Linked DNA regions of Xenopus tropicalis. The protein of the gene in region 1 purifies or fractionates together with the protein of each later gene. This does not show direct contact. Links are inferred from orthologs where the notes say so. Each region holds a gene or a part of one and is shown in the gene's direction. Other genes may lie near its edges.

Region 1 (4,081 bases):
AACCCGGGTGGCCACCTAGTCCCTGCACTATTGCATTGCACCCCCCGTGTGTTTTGGCGGGGGGGTGCGATGTGAAAGTTCATTGCCCCCACCGCGGCAGGGGTAATGAAAATGGAGCACTAACTAGGGGTAGGCAAGAGAGGCTCCTGCCTGGCGCCCTTCAATCGTTGCCCCCTAGGCAGCTGCCTCTTCTGCCTACCCCTAGTTCTGGCCCTGAATGCCAGTCCAGCCTGTGCCCCCCAACTGTGATTGAGTCACATGCCCCTGCTGCCTAGCCCTAGTTCCAGCCTTATGCTTCCTCGTACATCAGGATTTAAGGCAGAGTAGAGCAGCAGGGTTGGCAGCTGCCATATATATGACTTCCTCTGCCTATTGGGGTACATAGGTGTTTTTGGGTCAGGAGGGAGGACTCTGCAGGGAAATGAAAGAGAAAACCATAAAAATTGCTTTATTATCACTGGAATAACAAAATGCTGCAATTGGTCAGCAACTGGCACAGTGCCTGGTCATTAGGAACAGTTCCCAACTATGGATCACTTATACATACATATAATATACATAGATCCAATATGAATTTCAGAGTTACGTGCGCACACATTAAACACATACAAGAGCAATGATTAACCTGTAAAAATATTCATATACAGATATGGCACCTAGTGATGTCATTGTTTATAATCAGCACTTAGTGATGTCATTCACAGCACCACCCACTGATACTTATATAGAATAATGTGGCCCCTGGTAAAATCCCATTATAGTAGAATATAGCTCAGGGTTCCTGACATGCATATATACAGGTGTATATGAAACCTAATGCTTTAGCAGCTGGATTCATCGCTCTAGAACACTAACAGATTTGGTTTTCTAATTGAGACGCGTGTGGCAGTTCTATGGCAGTAATTTCTCCATTGAAAGAAGCATGCTGCGGAGCGTGTAAGCAGGCTGTGTGCTACTCGTGTAGCCGCTACCCCCCACACGCTATAACTAACACACACACAGAGAACAGGTTTCCACACATTTTTCTAGTGCTGGAACACTGACACCAGGTGAGAGATCCACCCCCTCACTCACCCACACTGGGACTGCTCCCCATCTCTGCCTACTTCTGTAGCGTTACACCCAGCCCCGGCGCCGCTCCACCAATCAGAGAATGGTTTAGCCACCACATGGGCGTGGCTTGCGTCATTCACCGCCATGAGGTGCGCCGCATGAGCACGGTTCCCCAATGAAAACAGAGAAAAGCGGCAAACAGCCAATCAAAGGAGGGGATGTTGCCGAAGGTCGCCATCAGGAGAGTATTGGCACATTTTACCGCTTACATTTTTTTCTAATCCAATGCAGTCATGCCATGCTTCATTTCCGGTTTAGGACTCCTGCCCCACTTCCGACAATACTGTCAAACAGCGTGAGCCTCATTTCCTGGGGTTGGACCATCTACGGAAAGCGAACCCGGAAGCGATACAAAAACACTTTGGTAAGTGTCTTGACAGAACCTGGACTTCAGTTTCATTTTGTTCAAGGAATGGGTGGAGGAAGCCGACCCTGAGACAGTGAGTGGAGACTCTAAGCGTTACTGCACAGTAGGTAATTAAAAGTGGTTTTATACTAATAGAATGGGTGTCGGATCCAGCACCCATAGCAGAACATCACAAGCAGCTAACCCATACATGCATTCAACGTTTTCACTGATTTTACAGCTATTTGTAAATGCACTCGGTAGCTGTATGTATCCCTTCCTGTGTATAGTCATTGCTCATGCAGGTTTCAGTTGTCAGAACCAGCAGTGTAGAGAATAGCAATAGGGTATGTCGGACAGTCAGCTGATTGTGCTCTATTTTAATGAAAAGACCTCTAAAAAACCAATTGTACCTGATGATGTGAAGTGTAGGGGGAATCAGGGAGATTTGGAATGGAGGAGAGCTTAGACAGCAAGCTGTCAGTAGCAGCATTTGTATACACCATAGGTCACATTCACTTACCTAAACGCAGGGCATAAAGTGGAATTTACCCACAGTGCACTGTTTTTTTCCAGAATTACGGGGTCATTGCAATCACAAATTGATGATTCTCTTGACACAATTGCAACTCATCTACTACAGTTGCGTTAGGTTTGCCAAAAATAGACCCAACTGCGTGTGTGTGGCGCAGATGCAGTGCATATTTTCTAAAAGTGCCTGGCGAGATCGCCAAGTGAGCGGATCTTCTCCCGATATCCCCCACCTACGGGTGGGCAATATCGGGTGAATTCAGGCTAATTCAGTCGGGGACCGCATCAACAAGCCGATGCGGTCCCCGATCTGACTAAAATTTTTAACCTGCCTGATTGATATCTACCGATTTCAGGCCAGATGTCGGTCGGGCAGGCCTGTCGTTTGTGCCCCTACTTGGGCCGATAAGCTGCCGAATCAGTCTAAGGGACCGATATCGGCAGCTACAATCGGCCACCTTAAGCCTGCCTGTCATGTGGACACTGGTGGTCAGGTTATGTTAGTCGGCTTGCATAGGCAGTGTTGTGAATGGCTGGATTTACAGGGGTGCAACATCTGCCCCTTTTGCCCACTTGCACATTGGCAATGGAGATACCAGCTGCATTATATTGGGGTCAGAGGATAGTCTGGCAGACTGCAATTGCAATACAAAGCAGTCCAAATAATTTTATGGTAAACTATATAAAGGGGCATATATACATGCACACAGCAACAAGGGAATTATGGGCAGTGCTGTGCCCTAGGGTGCAGGTGGCACTGTCGGCAAGGAGTTTCTCTGTTTTCTGCACTGCTTTCCTCCCTCATTCAAAAACATACAGGCAGGTTTATTGGCTTCTGATAGAATTGACTCTAATGTGTGTGAATAAGATAGGGACCTTAGATTGTAAGCTCACTGGGGCAGGGACTGATGGGAATGTGATAGGGACCTTAGATTGCAAGCTCACTGGGCAATGACTGATGGGAACTTGAGATTGTAAGCTCACTGGGCAATGACTGATGGGAACTTGAGATTGTAAGCTTATTGGGGCAGGGACTGATGGGAATATGATAGGGACATTAGATTGTAAACTCACTGTGCAGGGACTGATGAGAATGTGATAGGGACCTTAGATTGCAAGCTCACTGGGCAGGGGCTGATTGGAATATGAAATGGACCTTAGATTGTAAACTCCACTGGGGCAGGAACTAATGGAAATGATGTATAATCTCTTTAAGTGCTCCAGAATATGCAGACACTATAAAAAGTAAGAAAGGTAATAATTAAATGTTGGTGTTAATTGTCCTTTAATCCCATATTGTAATTATGTAATTTTGCTCTGATCCCAAACAGCAGACACTGATCACCTGGGCTGCATTCCTCTTTGCTTCCTTCTTATCGCTGTCTCTCCAATAACATTCACAACTACTTCCTTATTCCTTCTGATAACATGGGAGAGATATAATTGGCCAATATACTATGTGATGTCATCAGGACTTTCCCTTTTTCTCTGGTATTCAGAACTGGTCATTGGTTTCTATTAAACCGTTTCCTATTTACTTTTGCTTTATGGTTGGATGTCTATATCTGTTTATAATGTTTTATGTTTTTATGTTCTTTTTTTCTATTAGTAGAGGTAACTATGGTTTACAGTCTGGTTTTACCAAATAACTAGCCTTTGGGGTGGGGTAAACATTTTTACTGGCCCTATGGATTTTCCCATGTGTCATGGGGAATTTCCACCCCTGTATATTCAGTGTAGTCTCTGAAACTCAGGTTCCCTAAATGCCTTTGTAGGCTATAAATGAAAAGCTACTTTTAAAGAGGTTGTTCACCTTTATGTGGATTTTTAGTATGTTATAGAATGTCCCATTCCTAGCAACTTTGCAGTTGGTCTCCATTATTTATTTCTCTTAATGTTTGAATTATTTGCCCTCCTTCTGCCTCTTTACAGCTTTTAAATGGGGGTCACTGACTGTGGCAGCCAAAAACAATTGCTCTGTGAGGCTACAATTTTATTGTTATTTTTTTACTTTTTATTCCTTATCTTTCTACTCAGACTCCTCTTATTCCAGTCTTTTATTCAAACCACTGCCAGGTTTCTAGGGTAAAT
Region 2 (4,367 bases), on another chromosome or scaffold:
ACTGGTTAGAAGGGATGACTTTGACGCAGTTGGCCAGCTTGAAGTATATTGCAATATATGGACAAACAATCCCTGTTTTGCTTAAAGGGAAGGGCATTTCTTAGTAGCTTAATGCTCCGAATGTCTTAAAGTCATATATATATTGATAATGGGTGAGTGCAGAGGATCTCTTGTTGTTGTTTTTATATATATATATATATATATATATAGTGGAAACGATTGCACTAGACTGGCAGAAGTAGAGCCGGCAGGAGAATCTGTGAGCAACAGGTTGGTGAGAGGATTGCAAGTGGTTAGGAGGGGTTGGGTGCGAGCAGTGGGGGGGGGGGCTAGGGGTGCAGCACCTTTACATCTGGACCTAGTTTTTCTTTTTCTACAAGTGTGTGCCACAAAAAGTTTACATAGACAAAGAAAAATAAAACTTACAATAAAAAGTGCAAGTTGCTGGATTGCACTGATTACAAAATCAAAACACACCAAAACACATCTGTGATAATACAGCTTATGAACTGGTGTTGCTGGACTGCCAAAAGGACACACACAAACAATGTATGCCTTAATACTTAAACCATCTTGGCCACTATATACAAACTTATGAAGGCTCATTAACTTGCGTGTGCAAGGTGTGAAAAACACATGCATCATTTCAGGCACACAAATGTATGTGGTGCCAAAAAAATGTATGTTGATACAAGGAAGCAAATACAAGGATCTCAGTTAAGAAGGGTCTCTATAATATTAGAAATCGTTTTCCCTATAAGAAACAAAAGTCACAAAGTTTATTTAGGTGCAGAAACCCAGAGCAACTAGTAAGATATTGGCTTTTAAACAGGTGACCTGTAAATGCTACCTGCTGATTGGTTGCTACAGGTAAAAAAGTCCTTCTATTGCATAAGTTAACAAGAAAAAAGACAGTAGGCAGGCACGCTGGTATCCACAAAGCATCAAAAAGTCAGGAGTATTCATAAAAGGTTTACATTTTATTTAATCCATACATACATATTGCATAGCCCCCATGCCTTGTAATGATCACAATCAATGTGTCAGTTATTAAATTGCTGAATTGTTTCTATCATCATTTTTCTTGTATTTGATGTAACAATGCTGAGACTATCGCACATGATTTACATATTTATTTAATAGGACACCAAGAGTGAACATAATACTCTTGTGAATATTTAATCATAACTTACTTGTATAATTATTTACAGTATACAATTTTCACAAATTAGCTAACTTGAAGATAAATACAATTAACAGATAACCATTATATGCCACATAATGAGGCAGTATATTTTTGTTTTTTACAAATTGCAATACTCAATGAACACTTGATAAAGCATTCTCTCAGTTTTTTATTTATCTGCTGCTTGGACTCTTTGGCCTTTGAAAGAGAGACAGGGAGGGAGAGGAGAGGGAGGAGCATCTAATCTAGTGATGCAGTCAGCTTGCAGTATCCTGGTGCACACACACATCTACATACACATACACTGAAGCTGCACCCTCCCTATTTGCTGCAGATCTCTGTGTGATGTGAAGACAGAAATACAGATACCAGCTTCTGTAGCTTTCTCATTTGGCTTTCAGGTAAGATGTGTGCTATACTACTGTACCATTTTGGCCTTTATCCTTTTGATTACTGTTAACTATTACAATGCTAGCCGTTTGATGTTCATAAATGTTTAAAGGCAGCTTATTAATAAACAAATGAGGTAAATATTTTACTATCTTATTGTTTAAAATCATAACTTTTGTAAAAATATGGCAGAATGATCTGTCAAGAAAGGATTATCCAGATATTATTGGAATGCAAACACTGATAGCACCTATTAAGTAAAAGCAATAAGCATAGTCTTACAGATGTCAAACTCAGCATTAAATAAAGGCAGGAACTCTCTGGGCATCCAGACCTTGTTCCTTACTTTGTAACTGGGGTAGCCAATGCTAGTTGACAGGGTATAACTCATTTGTGTTGGGCACTGAACACACATTCATACACCAGTGGAGTATGGCCAGGGGTAGGGGTTTATTTAGCTACTCTAACTGGTGGGACATAAACAGGAATGCAATTTGTATGAGAATCAGTATTCCATGATTGTTGATGATTTTGTTATTTTTCTTAGTAACCACAGAAAACCACATATTGGTCAGTTTTATACATAAAATATGTATATGATTAATAACATACCTAAGCAACTTTCAGCTACCATAATGTGTAGGGGGTGATCTTAGGAGTCTTTCATTGCAAATCGATCTGCACAAATATTATTTGTAGGTAAAATATATGAGAATTGCCTTAAAAAATATAAAAAGACTTGAGCATATTTCTGCTTATGTAATAGGTGACAGGTAAGCCATAATCACAGTTTGCGGTTGGGGGGCAGTAATGGGAATGCAGTTGGACTATGAGCTGCAAATCTCTGTCACATCACTTTCTTGGGGTACATCTTTTTAGCAAACTGTAATAGCACATAAAATGACACCAAAACCCACAAAAATGTGTTCAAACTTTAAATAACCTGCCAAATTTTGTAAAAGGGAGTGGTATTTAGGGGGTGTGATCACAAAAATGGGTGTGGCAAAAAATGTTTGCCACGCTAGGCACAGCATTTTTTTGGTCCCTCATTCCATTTTGAAAATGTTGGGAAGTATGCACAGGTCCTGGTGTGATTCTATGGTTTAAGCTTCCCATATTTGGTAAATACTGGGATATTGTGACAGCAGCAGCATGACGCACCTGAATCACTTATGCCCCAGTATTTACAAAAAGCTACCATGCAGTTTGCCTTTAACTGTCACTTGTATAGGACCTGACCTGCATGTCTGCACATTACCATAAGATTATAGTTCTGTAGCAATGTGTCTGAATTTTGTATATACAATGGAAAAATGTCAACAGCTCTCATCATTTTAACTTTTAACTTAGTAGTATATTATTAGCCTGTAATCAACTGATTTTTTGTGATTATTGGCTGTTTCAGTGTTTGTTAACATATTTTATTTCAATTAAAGTTGGAGTATTAGCTGTATGAACCTAAAAGATTAATTTATTTTATTGTAGTAACAACCTTCAATGTATAAAGGTTGCAATAGCGAAGTAAAATCAAAAAAGTCAAAAGTCAAAAGCACATTGGAGCACAGAACTGGAGTGCTGGTTCATTCTTTGATTTTATATATATAAAAACAGAGTGGAGCACACACGTCACCAAAATAACAGCCCTGGGTGCAGATCAAAAAATAGACATATAGAGGAAGAGTACTGCACGCTCAGGTACAAAAGAAAAAAAGTTTATTGAAAAAACTTGACAACAACTAATCAAATCCACACCAGAGTATTTGTCTGAATCTTGCAAAAAGTGCTAGGATTCAGCCAAATCCCAAATTGGATATGGTGTATTCCTAGTATACATGTAATACATTGTGTTAAATGTTTCAGTTATATAGGTGCTGGGGAAATGTAGTTACAGGCAACAATAAGGGGTTTATTTACTAAAATTAGTTTTTTTTCTGGCTTTGTCAGTTTTATAAACTCGAGATGGTATAAATTTAAATTTCTAAAATGTCACAAAAATGATTACACAATGTTTACAAATGAAAATCCGGAATTTTTCAAGCAGAAAGTATTGTTAAAACTTCAAAAATTTGAGTTCAAACAGACATGTGTTTCCATGAGTCCTCTTTATTTTTCCCAAAGAGGAATTGATCCAGCAGCCATTTTAGGAGCATTGGCACTCAGTCATGGAAAACAATATTATGTTTAAGTTTCACTTGAAACTGGGGAAACAGAAAACAATGACTGGATTAACTTCCCCTGTACTTTGTAGAAAGTTTATATTTACCTTTGTCTGGTAAAGATACGTACAAACAGTTAAGGGAGTACAAGGCACTCATTTCAAAACATACAAACTTATTGGATAAGAACTGCTCTTTCAGTCAAATAAAAATGACAGGCAAGTTAATTGAAGAAATATGCTACAGACCTCCACGTGTAAGTGAAGAAAAAGGAACTCTGGTCCTGTCTGGCTGCAAGTTTGGGGATTCTTAAAGGAGAAGGAAAGGCTAAGTCACTTGGGGATGCCAAAATGTTAGGCACCCCCAAGTGACTTTAATCGATTACCTTTTACCCCGGGCTGGTGCCCCTGTTAGGAGAGAACCGTAGTTCTTCAGTGAGCACTTCCACATGTGCAGTGGAGTGAAAATATAATATATATATTATGTAATGTTTTTTCTTAAAAACATTGGGTCAATAAAGACACCAAACTTTAGGAAAGCAAACTTGTGTACCCTATGATCGTTACTTGGGGACACGGGGACAATTACATAGTTACATAGTTACATAGTTACATAGGGTTGAAAAAAGACCAGTG
Region 3 (4,115 bases), on another chromosome or scaffold:
GTACATAAGTAGCGCTTTATAAATTAAGATATACATACATACATTTTTGGGCTACTTTCAAAGTGGCTTTTGGCTAGTTTTGGGCTAGTTTTAGAACTGACTTTGGCTAGTTTGGAAAAATCTGGCTACCCTGCAGTACAGCCTTTCTTTTTCTCCCTCATAAATTTAAATGGAGTACTAATTGTAAGCTCTTTTGGGCAGGGCTCTCTTCCCCTCCTGTATCGGTTATTGATTGCTTTATATGTTACTCTGTATGCCCAATGTATGAAATGCAGTAATTCCTTGTAGAGTGTAAGCTCTTTTGGGCAGGGCTCTCTTCACCTCTTGTATCGGTTATTGATTGCTTTATATGTTACTCTGTATGCCCAATGTATGAAATGCAGTAATTCCTTGTAGAGTGTAAGCTCTTTTGGGCAGGGCTCTCTTCCCCTCTTGTATCGGTTACTGATTGCTTTATATGTTACTCTGTATGTCAATGTATGAAATGCAGTAATTCCTTGTAGAGTGTAAGCTCTTTGGGCAGGGCTCCCTTCCCTCCTGTTATCGGTTAACTGATTGCTTTATATGTTACTCTTGTATGTCCAATGTAATGAAATGCAGTAATTCCTTGTAGAGTGTAAGCTCTTTTGGGCAGGGCTCCCTTTCCCCTCTGTATCGGTACTGATTGCTTTATAATGTTACTTCTGTATGGCCCAACATGTATGAAATGCAGTAATTCCTTGTAGAGTGAAGCTCTTTTGGGGAGAGGCTCTCTTCCCCTGACCTGGTATCCGGTTACTGATTGCTTTATATGTTACTCTGTATGTCCAATGTATGAAACCCACTTATTGTACAGCGCTGCGGGATATGTTGGCGCTTTATAAATAAATGTTAATAATAATAATAATCAGCCATTCTGGTAAATAATTACATAGTTTTTCCCCTGTGTAAATCCCAGCTTGCACACGCCATGAGTTAGGAAACTCCCCGGACTGGAATGAAAGCCAAAGAATGACACTAGTTCCACAAATGACAGCTTCCCACGCTTGGAAAGTCCCCGGATAGATTACAATGAATAACCTTTATCATACGAGAAACGAATCGTCATGAATGTATAAAGAAATTCATGCATAGGATATTCTAAATAAATTGGTCAAAACTATTTTTAATTCGTATTAAACATTACCACGTCATATACAATTACACGTACTGCGCAAGCGCAGATCTAGTTTAGCCGGCGCCATGGTACAGTCGAGGTAAGGGAGCGCTGCGGCTGTGTTTCTCTGTGTAGCTTGTGATTCCCGCGTTTTATATCGCTACGGTGGATTTTTATTGACGATTAAGCGGAAGAATGCGGCGGTGGCAGGAAAACGAGAAAAAAAAATCGGACGCAAAGGCATAGAGAGAAAATGGTCGCGGCGTTCCCTGTTGGAGTAAGCTTACTTTAGGGAAGCGATACCAGTTGTGCTCCGCAACCGGGCATACCCGGGTGCAAGTAATTTCTTTGGGCACAGGTTTAAATGGACAGGACGTATTGGCATGCGTCACGCCCCGCCCCCGCTCACAAGGTTTTCTATAAATTGTTTGTGCGACACAGTTTCTCCCTCAGAAAGTAAGAGAGCTCTGTCTCCAGCCCGTCGCCCTCCCTCCCATCAGCACAGGGTGTGGGCGCTGCTGAAATAGTTGTTACGTAAGTAATTTCCTTGCTCCCTTCTGTGATTGGGCAGCTTGCGGGTTCCCCGCCCCTTCTGTGATAGGCAGCTTGCGGTTTTCCCCGCCCCCTTCTGTGATAGGCAGTTATGAACAATGCAGCCTGAGTCTATTGGCGGATTGGTTGTGGGAGCGATGTCAATCTTTTTTTCGCTTGTAATGGCTTTTGCTGTACCGGACGATGTTACGAAGTTACGATGGAGGCTGCTAATGAAAGAATTGTTAGCATGATATAACCGTGTGGCATTGTTTGTACAGTAGCTTCTAGCGATACGTGGCAGCTTGGCCCCTGCTCCACATGAAGGCTGTGTGTAGCGACCCCCTTGCCTCTGTGTGTGGCTGCCCCAAGGGTGACTAAACGGAATGTCTAGTTATTTTAACTACTCTTTGTGCTTTTTCTTTTTTTAACCAATAGATATTTTTGTAATACAGCTCTCTGGTTTAAAAAGAATGCTTGTTGCTATGGCTTTGTTAGGTTGGCAACCAGACTATGGTACTTATGAGGGAATAAAGGCAGAAGGTGCTAAAGAAAATCTAGCCTTGGGATTGATCTCCTTTTCTACCAATAAAAGAGGAATAATTGGAAGTTGTCTCACAGTATGGATAATACCAAATGGATTAATGCTATAATGTAATTGTATAGCTTATTTCCCCTTTAAACATCCAGCTCAGCTCATGTTCCTGAATGGTACCTCACAAGCAGTCATCTAATGGATTTCTGTCACCATAAGATCATACAAATGGTTACTTGTAATAGAATGACCTATTAGCAGCTTTTTTTTTTAATTATTTGCCATTCTTTTTCTGCTTATTTCAGGAAAGCCAAAGAACATACGCTCTGTGAGGCTAAAGTTCTAAGGTTGCTTTGTATTATACTTTTTTAAATTCAGCCCCTGTCCTATTAATCTTCCAGTCTGGCTTTCAAACCACTGCCTGGTTGCTAGGCTAAACTGAAACACTAGCTGGTTTCTAAAGTAAATTGGAACACTTACTGCTCAGCACCCAGATGGCTGCCTCAATTCTACACTGAAAAAAAACAAAATGAAGCCTAATTGCAAATTGTTTCTAAATACCACTGTCTACATCTAAAGCTGGCCATACACGCACCGATAATATCGTATGAAACCTTGTTTCGTACGATATTCGGTGCGTGTATGGCATGTTGGCGAGCTGAATGGTGTGTGGCGGATCTGGCGATGTTTCGTGCGACCGATGGTTGCATGAAAGATCGTCAGATCGCCACGTGTGTGGCCACCTTAAAGGAACAGTAACACCAAAAAATTTATATATTTTAAAGAAATTAAACTATAATGTACTGCTGCCCTGCACTGGTAAAAGTTTTATGTTTGCTTCAGAAACATTACTAGAGTTTATATAAACCCTGGTGTGTAGCCATGGGGGCAGCCATTCAAAAGAAGAAAAGGCACAGGTTATACAGCAGCTAACAGATAAACCCTGTAGAATACAATGGTGTCTTATCTGTTATCTGCTATGTAACCTGTGCCTTTTTTCCAGCTTGAATGCTGCCCCCATGGCTACACAGCAGCTTATTTATATAAACTATAGTAGTGTTCCTGAAGCAAACACACCAGTTTTACCAGTGCAGGGCCACAGCACATTATATTTCCATTACTTTAAAACACTTTTATTTTTTGGTGTTACTGTTCCTTTAAGGGTGAAGACACACAGAGCTACTAGAAGCAGCTACTTGTCAGACAATGCTGATCATTTACTGATAATTGTCTTTTTTTTAAAAGGTGTTTATTTTTCATTTTAAGAACAATACAACATATACAGACATTAGCTACAAACAATGTAGCTGTTAACTTTTGCAGTCAAATTAGCAAGGTACAGTACAAAGAATTGTTGTTGTTTTATTGTTTCAGCTGTTATAGGATCATATACATTTACCATAGCTTACTATCGGTCTGGATTCAATCATTTCTGTTAGATGGTAGTTATGTTTTAGATTGCGGGTCATCGCTACCCATTCTGCTATTGTGGGTGCAATAGGACTCATCCATTTCATGATAAGTAATTTTTTTGCGTAGAACAGTGTTGCCCTCATTAAGTTTCTGGGTTGATTTTGTGGAACTAGCTCGTCTATCAGACCTAGGAGGCATACTTCTGGGGTCCTGACTCTAGGTAGGATTAGTTGTTCGTTGAGATATTGTATGATTCCAGACCAGTAGTTAGCTATGTGGATGCAGTCCCATACCATATGGATAAATCCTGCGTTGACATTGTGACATTTAGGACATTCTGCATTTGGTGATCTGCCCATAGCTTTAAGTCTGGTTGGGGTGATATATACTTGGTGGTAGAATTTGAATTGTATAACTCTATCTCTAGTGGCTATGAGAAAATCGTATATGTGGTCCGTTGCTTCTTCCCATTGCTCCTCGTTTAGTTGTGGGAGTATCTGG

Evidence for each region.
Region 2: the proteins of ikbkg (region 1) and cntn2 purify together in Homo sapiens (affinity purification with western blotting, with the first as the bait; 3 studies listed by BioGRID). This does not show direct contact. The link is inferred for Xenopus tropicalis from reciprocal best matches to the Homo sapiens genes IKBKG and CNTN2.
Region 3: the proteins of ikbkg (region 1) and birc2 purify together in Homo sapiens (affinity purification with western blotting; 6 studies listed by BioGRID and IntAct, with this or other methods). This does not show direct contact. The link is inferred for Xenopus tropicalis from reciprocal best matches to the Homo sapiens genes IKBKG and BIRC2.

The regions. Positions count from the first base shown.
Region 1 is NC_030684.2:25,684,862-25,688,942, forward strand, and holds the start of ikbkg (NF-kappa-B essential modulator), read left to right. Parts: upstream 1-1,278; 5' UTR 1,279-1,477; exon of another isoform or gene 1,478-1,587; intron 1,588-4,081. Other genes in the region: g6pd (glucose-6-phosphate 1-dehydrogenase), read right to left, coding at 1,075-1,096. UniProt on the Homo sapiens protein: Regulatory subunit of the IKK core complex which phosphorylates inhibitors of NF-kappa-B thus leading to the dissociation of the inhibitor/NF-kappa-B complex and ultimately the degradation of the inhibitor.
Region 2 is NC_030678.2:64,715,145-64,719,511, forward strand, and holds the start of cntn2 (contactin-2), read left to right. Parts: upstream 1-1,463; 5' UTR 1,464-1,587; intron 1,588-4,367. UniProt on the Homo sapiens protein: In conjunction with another transmembrane protein, CNTNAP2, contributes to the organization of axonal domains at nodes of Ranvier by maintaining voltage-gated potassium channels at the juxtaparanodal region. May be involved in cell adhesion.
Region 3 is NC_030678.2:162,216,045-162,220,159, reverse strand, and holds the start of birc2 (baculoviral IAP repeat-containing protein 2), read left to right. Parts: upstream 1-1,211; 5' UTR 1,212-1,235; intron 1,236-1,564; exon of another isoform or gene 1,565-1,669; intron 1,670-4,115. UniProt on the Homo sapiens protein: Multi-functional protein which regulates not only caspases and apoptosis, but also modulates inflammatory signaling and immunity, mitogenic kinase signaling, and cell proliferation, as well as cell invasion and metastasis.